Struthio camelus: one gene and its partner. Each later gene encodes a partner of the first gene's protein in a complex. Links are inferred from orthologs where the notes say so. Each region holds a gene or a part of one and is shown in the gene's direction. Other genes may lie near its edges.

Region 1 (9,932 bases):
AACCTTGCTATAGGCTAACTACTACAAACAGAACTTATGCTCCATTTCTACTCACATGGCGTATTATAGACTGCAAATCACAGAAACATTGCCATATGAAATAATTATTTCTTTCAGAACTTACACAACTTCAGAAGTTGATTTCTTTAAACCTATGTACTTGGATAAACGCTCTTCAAATGGAAAGCTATTCAGTACAGACTCCTTTATAGTGGAAAGGAATTTAAAAAAGTATGCTTAAATAAAAAAAACTGTTTATAGTTGCAATTGAGGAAAAGATAGGAACTGAGGAATTGTAGGTGATAACTTCCCAGCTGGATTTCACAACTATTTAATAATAAAAGCTTTTTATGTTGGCATGCCAGGCATGTAGAACAGCTGGCAGAACAGCCCTGTTTGTCATTTTCTATATAATGGGAAATTAGGGCTAGCTTGTGTATCACTGGATATGCATTTCCAAGCAGATGCCATAGATACCAGACAAAAAAAAGAGGAAGTCATGGCAGGGCGTAGTATGCATCCCACTCTAAATTAAGCTCACTGATGCACATAGAGTTGAAAGACCATAAATAATAGAGACTAAGAGTAGCTGAACTCTGACCATTTCTTCAAAATACAAGGGTATACATACAGGATGGGATTGGAATACTCTGTGGAAAACTTGAACCTCTTGCTTTCAAAACACTAACAAGTATCATTCTTTTCTATTCAAAAACTTAAGGGTGCCATGGGTACTCCGTTCAACAAATTCCAAAGTTCTTATTCTTTGAAAATTATAAGTCATTTCCTAAACAATAAGCATTTTACACATTAAAAAGATGACTACTTTTTCAATACAATCCTACAGAATTTCATTCTCAGTTTTTTAAAAGATGAAATTTGTGCACGTTTAAAATCTGGGATTTTATTACACCTTACCCACCATTTCAAGGAAAAGAGATATTTTAATGCTATTTGATATTGAATTTTTTTTGTTTAAAAAAAAAAAAAGAGTCAGCAATGTAAATGCCAGGCTGTAACTCATTTTGGTTATACCATTTCAAGTAGCTTCAATCCATACCTAGTTATGGCACTGGCACAACAGAGAACCACCAAGATTCTCTCAAAGATCCCTTTAATTTAAACAATAACCCCAAATTGTGACAATGTGTATTTTTCAAATGAACTAATTACCTTATCTGTTTTTAAAAAAAAATTGATTAAAGCACCTTGAACTGACCAATCAAAATTCAGTTTAGAATAAAAAGCAAGAAATACTTCAAATCCAAACATTTTAAGGCGTAACGTAATTGTGTAAGGGTTTCAGTTATGAAAGACAGTGAAACAGATTGCAAGGAGGAAAGCTGTATTTATCATAGATGTGACCACCCCATACACAAAGGGAAGACTTTTCACCTAAAAGATATGGCAAGGTGTGGGAAAGAAAGAAAATTACTGTCAGTCTCAAATAATGCAAGTGTTTATATCTGTGCTCATGCTATTCCAGTATATTGTTCCATGTATTTCAAAGGGATCGCTTACAGAAGCGGTTAAGCATATAGTATTTGCAGGACTGGGATCCTTAACTTACTTGTGGAAGAAAAAAAGAACGGAAGGCTTCTTTCTGGGGGTGCCCATGATGGTACAGACTTCCTTCCTACCTTTGACTTTATGCTGACTGTGAGCCAGGGAGAAGGCTCCTGTCTCAGTTCTCATTCTACTGAGAACTTTCTAACACATTCACTCACCGGATGATATGAGCCAAAACTGAACCCCTGGAGAGTGAGAACATAACACCGCAGAATTAACTGATAACCTGCAAGACCCCGGTCTACACACTGAATATCGTTTATGCCAAAGTACTGTGTTACTTCAAACCTGTGAAGGTTGAGAAACACGTGGTGCTGATTTGCTGCATTCCTGGACAGTCAGGTGTTCCACAGGCACTCGTGGCAGAATAAGTCGTTTCTGAGGAGCACCAAAAGGAAGCTCCCTGATTTAGAAGAAACAAACAACAAGGTTTAAAAGTTACTTTGATTTTACCCATAAAACCCATACTGCTTCCATCTGGCTGAATTTAACAACTATATTTTCATTTAAATGCATGTGCAGCAAAAACCAGAGTTAACAGAAAAGTTGCTGTAGCTACTTGGGACTGCACTTCCTTTTGTATTGCTTTTTAACTTAAAATAAAACAAACTCAAAATAGCAAATGGCCAAAATAAGCTAATCTGGTCAGGTATTCCCATTCACTTCATAAGATTTTGATATCACAGTTGGTCTTGGCATTCATCCCTACAATAAAACAACTGTTTCACTTACCATTTAGAAAGCTGTTTTGAATGTTCTCCTTTATTATCAGTAGAAGAAATAGTTAACACTTGTCTGTTTATAGCATTTAAATAGTTTTCAGCATGTTTCTGTTAGAGAAAAAAGTTTAGACTATTAAAAAAGGTGTTAGGGACACTAAACCTAACTCAGTTAACTTAGCCATCTAGATCTTTCACTTGAGTGAAAAGTCAATAGGTCCTATGCCTCTATCAGACTAAAGCAAAACTTTGCTTATGATATGAGGCGCTAGATCAATTAATTCTGACCCCCCTCCCCCTCAAAAAAGGAAATCAGCACTCTAAACTATTATGTCTGATGAACCCCATCATTTGCTAGTTGGAAAGGGAACTTGCAGGATGACAAACATAAGGCCCCGTGCACTCTCAGCGACCTACTGACAGGTCTCAGACTGAAGCATCTTCCTGATCCATTTCATTTTACTTACTCTCAGCCCAGATTCAGTTCTTTCAATTGCTGTTTCCAGGTTACCAATATCCACAGTTTCTAGTTTTCCTTTCAAGTTGATATTTTTCACTTTATCTTTAAGCTTGTGAAGGTCTTTTTGGACCTAAAAAGCAAGTTATTACAATAATCACACCTATAACCAAAAACCATAGGTTTATACAGCAGGGTTTAATTCAAATAAAATGCTTCCTAAATACAGGAAAGAAAAATTTCCTGTACTTCCGTACTCTTACAAATGAGAGCGAGAAGAACAGACAGTCAACGACTTTTAAAGCCAATGATTAGTAGAAAACCTGAACAAAGAAGTTCATTTTAAAATAAATCTTGTAAAGCAATGGCAGCAGACTTCAAGACTGGGGTCCTTTTGCAAGGAGTGTTCTTCCCTTACGTTTCAAATATCTTGGCATAGATGGCTTAACTATGCAGGAAGAACAGAAGCACTACCAAAGGCTTTTGAAAGGAACAAGTAGCTTGAGAGGAGATCATGTCTGTCCATGTCAAAAACATATATTTATACTGTGGCAACCAAACAACTTCAAGGTCCCCTTAGGCTAAGAACTGTAAAATTTATAAAGTCCTGGTCATTATCCAAAATTCACAACGAGAACACACAAAACAAAATGAAATCTTAATGGCAGACAAAATTCTCCAAACCCCATTTTCTTGGGTTTTGTGTTGTCCCCAGAAGTTTCCAGGAACACTGTTGATATCAAGTGCTCTTTTTTGTTGTGCCACATAGAAAACAATTCTGCTAGATCCCTGAAAAAGATCAAATAAAAAAACCTTAAAGTCAGATCTTGGGTGCATTTTCTTCCTTTTAAGAAAAGTAGCAGCAGCCTAGAGACAATTGCCTTTCTTCATATGTCAAAGACACCTCTCAGTTTAACTCAGTAGTTACTACAGGCAGAATCTCTACTCTTTTTTGCAAGCTTGTTAAGAAGGAACTGAACTTCACAGATCAATTGAGCAGTAGAAAACCTCTAACATCACTTGCTTTATTAACTATTATAGCGTTATGCATTCTCGCAAGCACCTTAAAGAAAAGCATAGACACTCATGTTGCTTAGAAACAGAAAAGACAACCCAATTTAATTCCATTTGCATGGTATGGTGCTCCAAGAGCACAGGGTTTTTTGATTCTTAGTCAGTATCCGTTTCAACTAATACTGAAAACTGAAGCTACTGATACTCCAACCAACTACAGCTTGCAATATTAGTTTGATAGATTCTGCTCACGCTCACATCCCTCTAGTCTGCAGGGAAAATGACTTATTTCTTTGCAAGTTCTGCAAAGATAACTTCAGTCTCAGATGCATGAAGATGCCCTCTTGACAAGTACCTCCCAGAACTACAGAATGGTTTCTGCATACCACAAACTATCATCCAATGTTTCAGTTCTGGACTTCACTGTTCCTTTCTATAAACAGCTAGCTTGTGAATACGTTCCTGGCCACTTTACCTTCTCACATCACCTGTCATTCTGCAGCAGCTCAAAAAAGTGTCAAGAATCAGTAAAATTGCCCTTTCGAGTGAAACATTCGGTTGAAATTTTGCAAAGGGAACGTACACTTCACTGACTTTGCTTTGCCAGTAATAATCCCAATGCTGCTATCAGTGCAAGGGCTTGTCTGGAGACCTTAGGCTCTTGCACCATGGGCATGCTCCAGCTTCACTGCAACCAGTGAACATCTCCAAAGGACTTCCCTTTGAGCAGTCAGGTCCTCAACTTGACAAATTTGAAAACCACAGGGGAAACATTCTATGCAAAAAAGCAATACTAACTGCAACACAACTATTACCATTCAATTATTTTAGGCGTTTGCACAATTTTTTTGGTGGCAGTATTTGAGCATAGAATGAGGTTGACAATTTACAAAGTATTTGCTTACTGTGACAGATTACTTCCCTTTAGAAATAAGTTTGCTACTTCAGGAACACAAACGGGACGTGAAAGAGCAAGATAAAGTATCTGTGGATGCTCTAAGACGACAACCCCACAGCTTAGCTATATTTAGGAACACAATACTGTCAGGGCAAGACCAGCAGTCAAAAGGCATTCCAATAAAGCTTTCAACCTGAAAAGCAACACCACTATTGGATTGCTCAGGTCTACGTTTTCAAAGCCCCATCCAGATCCAGCGACCGAGGAGGTCGCCAGAGCCAACGGGAGCTCCATCGGAGCCTTAGGCACCCGCGGGAGCCTAACCGCCCTTAGATCAACGGCTGAAGACCGCCACGGATGAAATCCAACTGCAAGGATCACAGAGAAACCAACGTGGAAAGGCAAAAAGCGTTTATTTCATACACGGAGCGACGTACAGAGCCACAGAAGGTCTTTGGGGGGCAACAGCTGGATCCGTTTATCCCGCAAAGGAGAGCGGCCGCCCGCCCCCCCCGCGGCGAGGCGGGAACGGCCCCGCCACGACGCCTCACAGCGCCGGGCCGCGACGCCTCGCCTCAGCGCGGGCACGAGGCGGCTCCCGCGCCTCCTCCCGCCGGGCTCGGCCGCAGCCCCCGGCGCGGCGGCTCCGGCGAGGTGCCCGCTCGGGGCTCTGCCCCTCGACCCACCTGCACCAGCGCGGCGGCGGCGACCGCCGCCGCCACCTCCTCCCGCGGCGCCGCTGCCGCCCCCGCGCCGGCCATGGTGGCTGCCACCTCGCCGCGCCCCTAGCAACAGCACGCGCCGGCCGGACCGCACCATCCTCCGCGCGGAGCGGGGGTGGGGAGGGAAGAGTGGAAGGCGCTTTAAACCAGGAGCCGAGCACGCTCTTCTCCGCTTTCCTCCCCGCGCCAGCGAGCTTCTACTGCCCGCTGCCTCCGCTCCGCCGCTGGGCCGGCTCACCCGCCAGCTGGCCGCCGTCCCTCCTCGCTCCCCCCCCCTCTCCCGGAGCCGCGTGGTACAGGCCGGCAGCCGGAAGGGGCGAGGCGGCGGCGGCGGGCGCGATGGCGGCGGCCGGGCCCTACGCGCTGGTGGCCAGCTGCGCCGCCGGCTTCGCGGGCGAGGAGCTCGTCAAACGTGAGTGCCTCGGGCACCCCCCGGCCCGGCCGGGCTCCGCGCCTCGCCCCGGCTCCGGACCCAGGGCTCGGGGGAAGGGGCGGGGGGGGGAAGTGTCCCGCCTCAGGCGCCGCATTTCAACGCCTCCCCTCCAAGGGGGGGGGGGGGGAGTCGGGGCCTCCTTATTTCCTTAAGGAAATACAGCATTGAAAGAGGGTATAAACGTTCAGATTTTGAGAGCAAAGGGCAGCTGGCATCGTCTCTGCACCCGACAGGAGAAAGAGCAAAAGAGGAAACCCCACGCAGCCCCAAGTGTTACCACCTGCTGGCCACTCGCCACATCCTGCGTGAGGGGATGAACTGTCATAACGTACAGCCATGCCGAGCGATTTGAGTTGCCTCGAAACGGAATACAAGTAGTTGTAAAATAAAAATTGCCATACATTAGCAAGTGAGGAATAAGTGGGTTAGACCATGAACTCCTCTGCTGTGGGTCCTGGTCATGGCAGGGAAATGCAACTTGTATTTTGCTAGGACAACCGAGCAGCTCAGACAGCCGCTCGGTCAGAAGTGGCTCGCTAGATCAGACCGAGTGGCTCAGGAACCGAGGCAAGAGAAGGACAGATAGACGAAATATTGGCCCTTTGATTTTGGTTTTTTTTTCTAGTTATGAAGTGAACAAAGTCTTGGACCTTCAGGGCAAGGGTAAATTTCTAAACTCTTTAGTGGGTCTGAGCTCATGCTTTACTATGGCTTGTTTTCATGCCTGTGCCCATTGTCACAATTCAGAAGCACAAAAATGGGAAAGTTCCAAAAAAATTCTCCCTTTCTGAAATTGTCAATGAAACTTTAAAGTGCACTGACTGCATATTGAAGATACAGCGTTCTGTCAGAAGTTGTCTTGCGACCCAGCACCTCTTTTGTGGCCTGAAAAAGGCAATGCATAATATCTGATAACAGGGAAAACTTGAGTGGAATTTCAGTCTTTCTAGAGTCAGGGGGATTCCAGAAAGCTGTTTAGATCTTAGTGCTTCTGCCGCTGTGGCTTCTTAAGTGCAGCCTTGCTTCTTAAGAAACTGCCATGAACAGTGTGATTTGCATACTGACATGTATATCTTAACATTAATGCATGTTAATAATTCCAAACATCAGCACTTTAATGATGCTACAGTTCCATGGGCCCCTGAGTCAATCTAATGGCTTTGTGGATGCTGGAAGTGGGAGGTCTGGTCCCCTTCCTTCCATCTGCACAGCCCCAGCTATTTTCGCCATCTCTGGTGAAAATCTTGTTGAATACTTCTAGAAGAGGGGTTAATCCACTAATCCAGTAGCTAAAAAGCCATAGATAATTCTTACGGATTTATGTTTTGTTGTTTCAGTGCATTAGATCTTATGCAAGAGCCTCGTAAAGCATGGAGCTGACCCAGGGGTTTGACTCAGTCCATCTCGTAAAACCACATTTTGTAGCCAGAATGACAGCATAGGACTACTGTCAAGGGTTAGTCTGTCAAAGCAAAACAGTTAACATTGAAGTTATTTAAGGAGATCATAACAAAGAACAGTAAATTTCTATAAGAACTTATTCTTGGTTGTTGCTTGCTGGTAAAAAAAAAAGTATGGGAAATTGGAAGGAATTATACAAGGTTCCAGTAGGTTGATTATTTTTCTTAGAGAGATCAAGTGAAAATACAAGTGAGCAAAAAGCTGATAGAAATGCTACTTAAGAAAACCTCTGCTTAAGTAGTACTCACTTGGAAATGGCTAGGCTTCTACTGTTTTCCAGTACCAAAATGGAATCTTGCAGGTTATCTTTGCATCCTCAGGTTGGGTTGCTTCACAAAAGGTGGCATTTCTCTCAAAGATTTTAACATCATGTACTGAAAATAAAAACAGTAAGAATTTTAAATTTCTGCTTTGTGTAGCAGGTGAAATTGCCTGTGATCTAGGAGCACAAGTGGAACAAGTTGAAAACCTATTAGGAGGACAAAGTTGTGACTGGCTACAGTTGACCAGACTAAAGGATGTTATTGGGCTGGGGCAAAACACTGGTGGAATATTTGAAACTTGTACTTTAACAGCATGAAAATGTCACACCAATTTAAAGGCACTATTTGGAAGTTTTGTTTGCTAATGCAATTTTGTTCTGCCAGCCAGACCCTTGTATTAGCACCTCTGAGGCAGTACAACATTTTACATGCAACATTTATGGTTGAAATATGCTATAAAATGCTGTATTGCTTGAGATCCATAGACTCGAAACCCACAATTGCTATAACAAACATGAAACAAAGACCTCATCTCTGTTACTACTGCTTTTGTCACTGTGCTACTTGCTTTCACTCCTGATATGTTCTTTTTTCCCCAGCAAACCTGTTCTAAGTCAAGGAAGCTGCCAAGAGCATTTATTGTTAGGAGATGTATGAGAACTTCTCCTGTGACCTACCAGAAGTTTCCAGGGTCATTAGAAGGCTTTTTCCACAATGTTTTCAACCTGTAGAGTAGGAAATGGCTTGAGGATGGGAAGAATGTTGTGGTGCCTTTGCTAGATATTTTTATTCCTTCAAGTTGCTGTGGGCTACCCAAACTGCTTTACTGCAGCAGATGTTGCAGCAAAATGAATCTAGTATGCAATGCACAGGATAGGATTGACCCTTTCTCATAGATATTTGGATCATAGAGATTTGTAATCAGCATAAGATACTTGTTTTATCAGCCAACATTTGTAAAAACTGACTAAATACACAAGCATTCGTAATTGATGCAACCTTTCACTTCTCTGGCATTTTCGCTTGTTCACTGCTTCTCTTCCTCCTTCTCAGCAACACATACAAGTTTAATCTGCATTTCTGAAAAGTTCTTTACTCCTTGTATAATTTGCAGGAGTATTTCTCACGTTGTATTCCACCAGGTGGCTCTCAAGGCACAGAATGCAAGAACTACTCAGTGTACCTACCAACTCAGAGGACATGTGATCTTTTAGGCTATTGTAGAACTGCATTATGTTCTTAGTATTAAATCTGACAAAGAGTAGAAAAGCGGTCAATACTTCAGCCTTTGGAAGAAAAGCCTGCAACAAGGAGGTATTCTAATGATTCTGAACAAACAAAACATTACTAGTGCAGTGGCAGTAAACAGTGTCACAGAAGTACTTAAATATCAGTTGGATGTTAGAGAAAAGGGAACATTGCAGCAAGGAGAGGTGAGAGATCTGCATCTGATTCTTTGATTAACTTTCAGAAAAGAACCAAAAAATATGCTTTTGGCCTTAGTTCTCCTTTCAAAAGGAGATTTGTTGCCTTGCACTTACAAAATACTAAGCCTCTGTATTTCAAAAAGGAAAAAATCAGTAAAATTGAATAAGTAAATATGTTTATGTGAATAAACAGGTAGCTGAAATTCACTTCCCAAAGTGAATGAATTCCGAATTGGTTAGAATTGTGTGATTTATTACACAAGGTACTTGTAAGCAAACAAACTAAAAACACCACGTGATTAATCAGTTTGCTGAAAAACGAAAGCTAGTGAACAACTACCTGGAATTCAAGTTAGCTTTGGAGATGGCATAGGTGAACAGCACCAACGTAGGAGGTAACAGAGGATGGCGCTGGCATGAGCTTAGGCAATGCGTCTGTTTGGTCCCCAGCCTACAATAACTCACTGTAGTTGAGGAAGCTTGTATTTCTCTGCAAAAGAGCTTTTGTGTACAAGTGTAGGACACTGAAACGTGCTATGCCTTAGTTAGTATTCAGCCATTATGGATAAGATTATAAAAGGGCAAATAAAAGTTATTTCAGCATAATAAAAGCCCAGTATTATTAGTTGCAGTATTTCTTAGAGGAACTTGACCTCCAAGTCAATATTTTTGAATGACACTAAGCAATATTCTTCTGTAGCATGATCTTTTCCATATATGCTTTTAGTACTCTAATACTGATGCATGTGGAGTCTGTTTGCATTCCTGTTGTCCAAACAAGCCACTTCTGCTCTCTGAAAAGGCAAGCTAATGAAGTCAGCCCCATAGGCCTGCCTACTGTTGTGGTTAAAGAATGACTCAATTGGTTTTCCAAGCTCTTTGGATGGCAAACCACTGACACTTTCAATGGCTGGGAAACTTAAAAACAAGTAACTTGCTAGAGATAAGTTTAATAAGCCACCTTTTTGC
Region 2 (9,047 bases), on another chromosome or scaffold:
AGCAAATTGCCAGCCTAACATAGTGTAGAGAGGCTCCAGTTCACTGAAGCAGTGATGGCCCTGCTCTTAACTGTGCTACAATCTGGAAGCTTTCCAAACAGTTTCCTTCTTGGAAGGACTGGGTGGACACAAATGCTCTTGTCATATCTTTCTAGCTTTTCTGGACTCTTATTTCCTTAGATGCTCACCCAACCCTTCTTTCTCCTGCTCCCCAAAGAAACTAGTACAATGAGGAGGGGATGGGCAGGGAAAGAAGGCTTCTTAACAGGCTGCTATTTAAAAAACATTCAGCAAGACAAATGGCACAGTGTAGTGATTATTTTTGTTGGGTTTTTCTTCTCTCTCTCAAGCATCACTGCAGAAAATGTGGCCAAGCAGTGTGTGGCAAGTGCAGTACCAAACGGTCGAGCTACCCTATCATGGGATTTGAGTTTCAGGTCCGTGTCTGTGATTCCTGCTTTGAGTCAATCAAGGATGAAGAGTGAGTACTAAGAAGGGTGTCTGTTTTATAAAGCAATGCTGATGAGGTACAGAAACACTTGTGTTGGCTCTGTGTCCATGCACAGTGCTACACAAACATGCCAAGCTGAACCTGTACTAACAGGCCACCCTTGCCCTGGGTGCCCAATACACTCTGGCGCAGAGATCCCTAAACTGGCTCTGCAAGCCCGTTTAGATCAGATGTGGTGTTACACTTTTTTTTTTTTTAATCCAATCTGGTTTGTTGTCTTCCCCATAACCCCAGATCCAGACTACTACTCTGTGTGCTCTTCAGAGGCCAGCACTATTTTCCTGTGCAAGCAAACTGTTCAACATTGTTTACTGTCTCATTAAACTATTCTAGTGATGAAGGAACCCCTTTGATTATCTTAATATGAAGAGCACTTCCTGTTCAGTGTTCTGTCACCTTCTTGGAAACTTGGAGCACTAAAGGACTGAAGTAATCAAATGACCATTTTTTATTTTAAAAAAAGAGGGGAGGGGAAACTTGGAGCACTAAAGGACTGAAGTAATCAAATGACCATTTTTTATTTTAAAAAAAGAGGGGAGGGGAGAGATGCTGTGCCATTGTTTATCCCTTGTGGGAAAGGAAAAATGTAGCTGACCTTGACTTTATAACCAAGAGTACAGTTTTTTACTCAAACTGTGTTCTACTTCTGCTCTAAATCTATTAATACTCAAATTGGGGAAGGCTAGGCAATCTCTCACCCGTATAACTGCACAAGCAGTGATTTAGCATGACTTGCTAACTCAAATCCATCCCCTTTTAGATGGCAGTGCTGTTCTTGGGGCTGATTCATTAGTATTCAAGCAACTTAATTTTTTTTGAGAGTTCATTTCACACTGTTATAATGAGGCCAGGCAGCTTCATCTAATAGCTGGCTTTCATTTGAACTGTTTTCTTATAGCCGTACTTCCTTGGCAACCTTTCATGAAGGAAAGCACAACATTTCACACATGTCCATGGACTTCTCCAGAGGGTTAATGGTCACCTGTGGAAGTGACCGGATTGTGAAGGTATTCATGTACCTCTTTCCAATGTTTATTGAAGATACTCTTAGTTTCCTAATGATTGATGTTTGTATATACTTTTTCCCTTTTTGACAGCTGTAGCTACAAAGCTAACTGCTGTGAGCAGCAAGAATCATATTTGTTGCACGCTGTTTGTTCTTCTTGCACTGATTATGGAAATAACCTGCAACTCCACTGCATGGTTTAATCTAGCTGTCAGAGCCAGTTACTTTTGGTGTCCTCTGGACAAATGAAGCAGGCATCAACAGTGGCTGTATCTGCTAGTGGCCTTAGAAACGGACACGTGATAATATATGTAGGCTCCTTTGAATCTGAGCTCCCTGACTTCTTGGAGCAGTGCGGTGAAAAGCCCTGGTTATGGGGCAGTGACAGGGAAATGGGAATGGTTTTTTTTGTTGTTGTTGAACAAACCTGCAGAGCACTGCTACAAGAATCTCTTGAATCTGAAGTTTGGCTGTTGGTTTGCAAGACTGGTACAACTCTTTACCTCTTTTTCTGTTAAGTCTAATTTAAATAGGATTTGTTACCTTATGTCCAGGGAGGTCATTGCTTGCTTCTATGCTTGTTATAGCAATATTCTGAAACATAAGTGGTATTTCTGTATAATTCTCTGCAATATTTTCTTCTAGATTTGGGACATGACGCCAGTAGTCGGTTGCAGCCTTGCAACTGGCTTCTCTTCACGCTGATCTCCCGCCAGAGAGGTTTATGCACCTTATGTACAGCAATATGCACCAAATGAATGAAATCCTTCTTAAGAATACTACCGCAAACACTGGTTGCTTGATTCTTCTGCTGCTGTTCCAGGATGGACAGTCCCCTTTGTGCAGTACAGCTTTTCTGTTGGGCCCAACAGGAATCTCCTTGGTGCGGAAATGCAGTTTCACAGCCTCTTGGACTAACGTAAAATGGCTTACCTGCAACGTGACACCTTGATGAAAGGACCTGTTGTTAACTTGGTTAAACATGTAGTGTTAACAGTGTGCTTTCTCTGCTGATACATCTTATATAGATACCTTGTAGCTGAAAGAGTAAAACAAGTTTAGTAAATTCAATTTGTGCAAATAGTAAAATAACTTATTCTCTCTTCCAAAAAGCAGTTCTGCAGAAATACTTTTGAGCAGTCGCTGTCTAAACTGCCTCCAAAAGGTATATTGGTTATTCCTATGGAAGGAGGAAATACTTTTCAAGTGGCAGGTAGCTTCTTTCAGATGAGATGGTAAAAGAACCTTTGATCATGCAAGATTTCCTTTATTGGCTTTCTTGTAGTGTTTGTCTTCAAGTTCAGTTATTAGTGAAATCACTTTTGTGGGACACCTATTCTGTTTAGGTAGCTGGCAAATCTTCAGACAATTCCAAGCTCTTAAGTAGAATTTTAGCATAAGTAACAAACTTCTATGTCTTATTAAAACGTACAGCTCAGCTACTCTAGTTTAAAGACAGGCTGTAGGTATGAACCATATGCTTTGACAGCTCTATAATGCTGTTAGAATGGGAAGCTAAGCAAATCTGCCTTGTTAAGTGTAATGGCTAAGAAAAAATGGCCAGCTAAAGTATAGAGACCTTTTCCTGTGGAAAGGCTGATGATCCTTTAATGGTAAGGAACCTGTCTCTGCTAAAGTGCAGCATAAATCTAAATACTGCCTTGGTGTTGCTTAAAACTGATAAATACTGAGGCTTTCCAAAGCAATAATTACTGAGGTACAGAAAAGCTGCTTTCCCCCCTCTCCCCCCCCCACCAACGTGCACACACAGGTCCGTTAATCCTGAGATATCTATATTGATCCGTTCCCATTTCAAAGCTGAGAAGTATGAAGAAGAGCTAGAAGGCTTCTATGAGTGTGTAAGTGGCACTTACAGGGAATAGCTAGTGCGGTATTGCCAATAAATTGGTCTGTCAGTTTTATGAATCTTACATTTGAACACTGTAAGGAAAACTTATTTTGAAACCTTTTGAAAGCCAAGGCAATGGCACAGAGTTTAAGTTGGGAGCTTTTCAGGCTTTCTGAAAGCAGGTGCTTACTGTGAGGACAGAAAAAACTTGAGTGGGTCAGCTGGCCCAGAGTAGGTGATGGTGCATAACTGTCAAAGGTAATGGGCTCTTTCTGGCAGAGGACTAAAGGGTTAAACGGTCTTTAATACAGCAACAAGGAAGTGGTGCTATGACTGTAAGTGAAATCAAGTCCTAATTGCGTGATTTGACGTTAATATTCTGTGTTGGACCATGTTGTAGCTAATATATGAAGATTGCTGTATAGTTAATACATCATGATCCATTTCAATTTTAAGCCAAAAAGCTGATAGTCTCCAACAAGGGCATTAGAATCCAGAATATGTTAGTTACTGTTATCTTGGATCTGGCTTTGTCTACGTTTCTATGGGCATTTCCTGAAGTATTGCTAAGAGTCTGTTAATTTGCTAGGCTTACTGAGACAGTGGGGAAAAAAACCCAAATCCCTCTTTTGTGGGAATAACAAAACTTGTATTGCCCTCAATTTGGGATTTAGCACTTGTCACACTGATTTCATTCATCTTGTTACATGCTGTATAGCTTAGGTTTTTTTGTGAAGGCTTGTTTCTAAGCTACTGAGAGAAAAATCAGCCTGTGTTTGGGGAAAAAAGTTAGGTTACTGCTCTGAAAGCCTCCACCTCTGTAAATTGAGAAGGAAACTGAGTGCTTGAAGGGGTAAATGCATGCTGATAATGCTCTCAGACTTCTTCCTATCTAGCTTTGGAAGAGAACAGAAGCCTCCTCTTCCTTGCAGAACAGGCTTATGCAGCTAGAGCTGCTCAAGATACTGTGCTGTGGTGAGGAGGATCTAGGGTCATGTGTTAAACTGGGAGATTGATGTAGATGTGGTAAGAATAGCATATTTTTCAAACCAGGTGATCTGAAACTCTTCTTACACCAATGACACTGAGGTGTAACTCTTTAGCAGCTAACACTCCTGAACGTCAGCTTTTTTAGTTCTGGTTAGTCAACATGCTCCCTGCTCAGCATGGAACTCCCTGTCCCCCTTCCTTGTGAATACTTCCTCTGCTTTTTGACAGCCACTTATCTTACATTAAGGTTTTGCCACTAGATAATATATTCTCTACTACATATTGGTAAACCTAATGAATCTATTTTCTATAATTGCTATACTTAAAGATAGTGTCAGTTTGGGTATAACAAGATAATTATGGCTGCCAGAAGTCATTAGTCACTTAAGTATACTCTTGGTATTGAATGAGTAATGCTTACAAACCACTAAAGAGATACTGTTTTGTTTTAAACAACTGTTTTGAAGGTGCATACTCTGTCAAGAAACTGAACGTACTTCCACTATGTCAGGTCAAGTGTGCAATTACTGAGGAAGCTTGATTTGAAGCATTACTAATCTTGCTTGTATAACCTCTTCCATTGGGGCAGGGAAGGGGAGCAAAGGGTACTGATATGTGCTAATTCTTTACTAGTTGTATTTCTGTACCCTGCATAGTTAAGAGATGCTAGATAAATCTGTCCCTTGCTCCCTCTTGTCTGAGGTTTTGTTTTTTTAATTTTGATTACATGTACAATAAACTATTTCTTGATATTCACTTAGTCTATTTGGATGACCCATCTTTTCTTTGTTACTGAACAACCCCCATTCTATGCTCTCGCTCCTTCTTTAGGCTGCCCGCATCCAAATTCTAGGTTGCAGGAAGGGTTTGTCAGACCTGCTGCCTGGAGCTGAGTGAGCCACAGCGCTAGGGTGAAAGGCCCGTGATGAGCCAGTGAGTTGAGACAAACAACTGCTGTGTGGTTGTAACCTTGTTTACTGAACAGTAACTACCTGCAGATGGAGACATACAGCTGTGCTTCCTATCCTTTCTATCCTACTTGCCAGCTCATTTTAACTTCTCTGGTTATCTGGTTACTTTTCTGAGCTCTGCAATGGTTCTTACAATGCAGGGTATCAGAAGATAAACTTGCTTGCCTGAAATCGCACGGAGCAGCCTGAGGTATTAGAGAAGTACCTCCCTGGTGTTGGATGAGAGGGGCAGAATCTACTCTATGATGTACCCAGAGGATGCAAACTGCAGTCGCAGGAGGTGGTTACATTTGTCTCATAGCACTTTCACAGAGAGGAAAGGATAAGGACGAGCAGCAAAGTATCCCTATACCTAACAATTGCTCACAGCATTCACGCTCAAAGACAGAATTTGCCAACTTTGTGATATTTGGAATGCCTGAATATTTGCATATTAATAGGGAAGGGGCAATAGTCTCAATCTGAAAGGGTTTCATAAACTTTCATCCTCTCATGAGTGGCTGAGTAGCTTATGTAGTATAATATTGTAATGGATTTTTATCAAGACCTATCTAATTTTGATAGATTTCAAAAAACTAAACTTCTCACCTATCCCAAAGCAAATGCCCTGTTCTCTAGTTCCAACAAAAAATTGACTGTGAAATCAATCTCTCACTGATTCGTAGGCAGAAAAGCTTATTTAGAGGTCTGGGAAGATCATCTTATGGCATAATTTAAATCTAACCTAAGCTTCATATCTTAAGTTTGAGAACTTAAACAGTGTTCTCGTAGTGGAAATGCTGGGACACGTGGGTTGGTTTTTCTAAGTGAGAATGCATAGCTGACCGGTGTAAGGGTCTTAACATTCCTGGTGTTGCAAACTTAGAATCTAAGTTTCAGTTAAGCTGTGTGGCAGGTCTTGGCAATGCCTTTCTAGTGTGGTGTTGAACTTGGTCAATGGACAGACTAGGAATAAGTTGGATTCAAGAAAGGGACCAATTTTTTTTTTTTTATGTTGATCAAACTTACAAATACATTCTTTAAAGGGAAAGCTCTCCAAGGCTTTTTTTATGAGTAAATTTGGAAGTCTCGGTTGTGAATGACTTGGCTAACAATGAAATACCACGATCAAAATCTACAGAAGAATGAATTTCTGCTTGCTTAGCATGGCTTTTTTTTGTCATTAACTAAACATCTTTCAGTAAATTAAGATTTAACCTTTGGAAGCTTTATCTGCTTCTCTCATGAATATAAAGAGAATGGCAATTGCATGGATTTATCCAGAGCAGCCTTCTATCAAACCCTAGGCAACTGCAACCAGATGATCCCACAAATGTTTTTCTTACTTCAGAGGAAGTAAGGGCATGGTCTGTAGGTAGCATTATATAATCTACTAAATACAAATATGCAAAAGAAGCTAATAGTTGAACTAATTCAACTACTTTGATCACTTGTAAAATGAGAGAAAGTAGTTTTAAAATAATAAATATCAGTAATCTACAATTTTTCCTTTTTAAAATAAAATCAAATATAAAAATATTCTATAAAATAAACCAAAATATGAGATCCTTAGAAACTTTGCTTTTTGCTTGCATATCATGAGACTTCCTCCTCCCCCCACAACATACATGTAGCTTAGTGTTGCTAGACTAATTGCCCACCAATGTATCTGTGTACCCTAGATCTCTTAACAGTTTTGCTGTATAATCTGCCCTTGCCCAGAGAATTTGAGCCAGATTCTTTAATTTAGACTCCATGTAATTACAGTGACCTAGGTGGGATTGGCTGGCTTGTATATGGAATAGTTGGTCCATTCTTTCCCGATTGCTCTGTCATACAGATAGCATGGGTTGCCTCATGTCTAGCTGTGTCATAACTGAATTATGTAGTGTTCTTAATTTTTGTTTGCAAAGGCCCTGGTACGATGTGAATCATGCTTTCTGTGAGAGCTAGAGGCTTAGGTATTCCCTAGCTTTTATCCAGCCCCAAACCAAGATCAACTCATGTTAGAAACACAGGTTGACTGTGGGATTTCCCTTCTGTGTTTTTATGCTTGGTCTTTCCATTCTTCTTCTGAAGTATATTGGCGTGTTCTTCAGTAAACACTGATTTGCAATAACAAATGTTGAGGAGGTACACCCTTTTCTTGCTTTTACCTTGTTTATAGGGGAAGACACAGAATAGGGTTAAACCTGCTCCTAACTTTATTATTTTTGTCTTTCAAATAAAAAAGATTCCATGGCCCTTGTGTATCTCTATCAATTTTCCTTTCCACAGCCTGTTTTCCCTAGGTTTTGAGTTTAAAATGAGCTACTATCAATACTTATATGCATGTATCTCTCAAAGCTCTTAAGAGCGGTCATGAGCTGAAGCTCACTCTCCATGCCGCTGATCGGAAGCCAGCACTGCTTGCCAATGTTCCTTGCTGCTGCTAAGCTAGTGCTATTTTTCTGTTGTAGTCACTATCCTTTCTTATCTCCATTCTCATTATATTTCTCCTTCTTTCTCTCTTAGTTTGTGGCTCCTTCTCCAGGTGTCCTCTGCAGCAGCATGTCTGTGTTGGAGTTTGACCCCTTCAGATGGGTGATGGGAGCTCTTGAAGCACACCTCGACTGCTGCCTGAGCTTACTGATGTGTCAGGTGAGCGGGTCTTGCATGGCTGAGCTAAGGATGTCTGAGGCAGCAGACAGGGAAGGTAAGTGTCTCTGTGGAAAAACCCTGCTGTCGCACCCTCCGGTACAAGACTCCATCCCATTAAGCACCATAGCAATGCAGCCATACTTGTTGTTCTGCTCACTTTACCCCTTGTATGTTGGAAAACAATATGGTAAAAGCTGCTACCTCTTCATCCCTGACTTTGTGTTATGTCCTAGCTAAGAGGTGGCTACCAGTCTTTTTAATCTTGGTGATCGGCAGGGAAGATCTGGAAGCCAGAAGGCTGCCAGTAGTGCTTACTGGTTTTGAAGAAAGTCAGGGTGACTTCTCTAAGGGTAAAGGAACGTTGTAAATGTCTAAATGATATCTGTGGAACATTCCATTTAAAACTAGATCTCTTAAGCAGAATCTAAAAGAGGGAAATAAGGCTGTATATTATGTTCAGTCCAGCCCTTTTAGGGAGGAGAAATGCAGGGCCTATAAGTATGTTTATAGGAAACAAGGGATGTTTTAGTCCTTCTGCTTCAAAACAGTAGTTCTCTTGTTTTACTGTGTGAATTTATCAACTGCGTGTCGTACTGTTTCAAAGCGTGCTCTGAGTATGGTTAGGTTTAATAATCAAGGTGAAAGAGAAGAGTGAAAGAAACTGAGGGAAGGTGGAGAGGGGCAGTGAAATGTGTGGTGGCGTGGTTAAACCACGCAGAGGCACTGGGGCCTTTGATTTGAGGGGCTATAAGGAAGGACACAGTGGATCCAATAGCTGTTAATCTAAAGGAGTGCAAGAGGGCTACAATGGTTTTTTCCCCCCCCCCCCCCCCCCCGATAGAAGTAGAATTCTGTATGGAGCTTTATTAAGATCAGGCCAAAAGGAAGATAAACTTTAGTTTCCTACAGCTAGGAAATGGAATGAAATGCTACTTGACGCCCTTTAAGCGCTTGTGTACCCTTGTCAATTCAGTACAGGCTGTAATGGTTTGAGAATGCAATTTTTACGCTTCTCTAGTGCTTTAAACTGCTGAAATGTTGGTGCTGCTTACTGAATATGCTAGTGTTGCTGATAAGTACAGAAATCTGTGATGCTGAAAT

What was found.
Region 2: the proteins of AAGAB (region 1) and AP1S3 are in contact, whole or in part, in a crystal structure (PDB 9DDT), measured with the Homo sapiens proteins. The link is inferred for Struthio camelus from reciprocal best matches to the Homo sapiens genes AAGAB and AP1S3. Residues at the interface, in NP_078942.3 of Homo sapiens: Asn51, Lys52, Tyr53, Tyr54, Glu108, Val109, Met110, Ile111, Gln128, Ile132, Gly135, Phe136, Glu137, Asp151, Phe153, Pro154, Glu155, Arg161, Gln164, Ala165, Asn167, Ala168, Asn169, Val170, Met176; in NP_001034658.1 of Homo sapiens: Arg10, Gln11, Lys13, Arg15, Gln37, Leu40, Ser41, Arg61, Tyr62, Ala63, Ser64, His85, Val88, Asp92, Phe95, Val98, Glu100, Leu101, Asp102, Ile104, Phe105, Asn106.

Annotation. Positions count from the first base shown.
Region 1 is NC_090953.1:2,582,494-2,592,425, forward strand, and holds the start of AAGAB (alpha- and gamma-adaptin-binding protein p34), read left to right. Parts: upstream 1-5,662; 5' UTR 5,663-5,718; coding exon 5,719-5,791; intron 5,792-9,932. UniProt on the Homo sapiens protein: May be involved in endocytic recycling of growth factor receptors such as EGFR.
Region 2 is NC_090950.1:12,752,198-12,761,244, reverse strand, and holds the start of AP1S3 (AP-1 complex subunit sigma-3), read left to right. Parts: upstream 1-5,163; 5' UTR 5,164-5,289; intron 5,290-7,820; 5' UTR 7,821-7,856; coding exon 7,857-7,946; intron 7,947-9,047. Other genes in the region: WDFY1 (WD repeat and FYVE domain-containing protein 1), read left to right, coding at 351-481, 1,410-1,518, 2,163-2,222. UniProt on the Homo sapiens protein: Subunit of clathrin-associated adaptor protein complex 1 that plays a role in protein sorting in the late-Golgi/trans-Golgi network (TGN) and/or endosomes.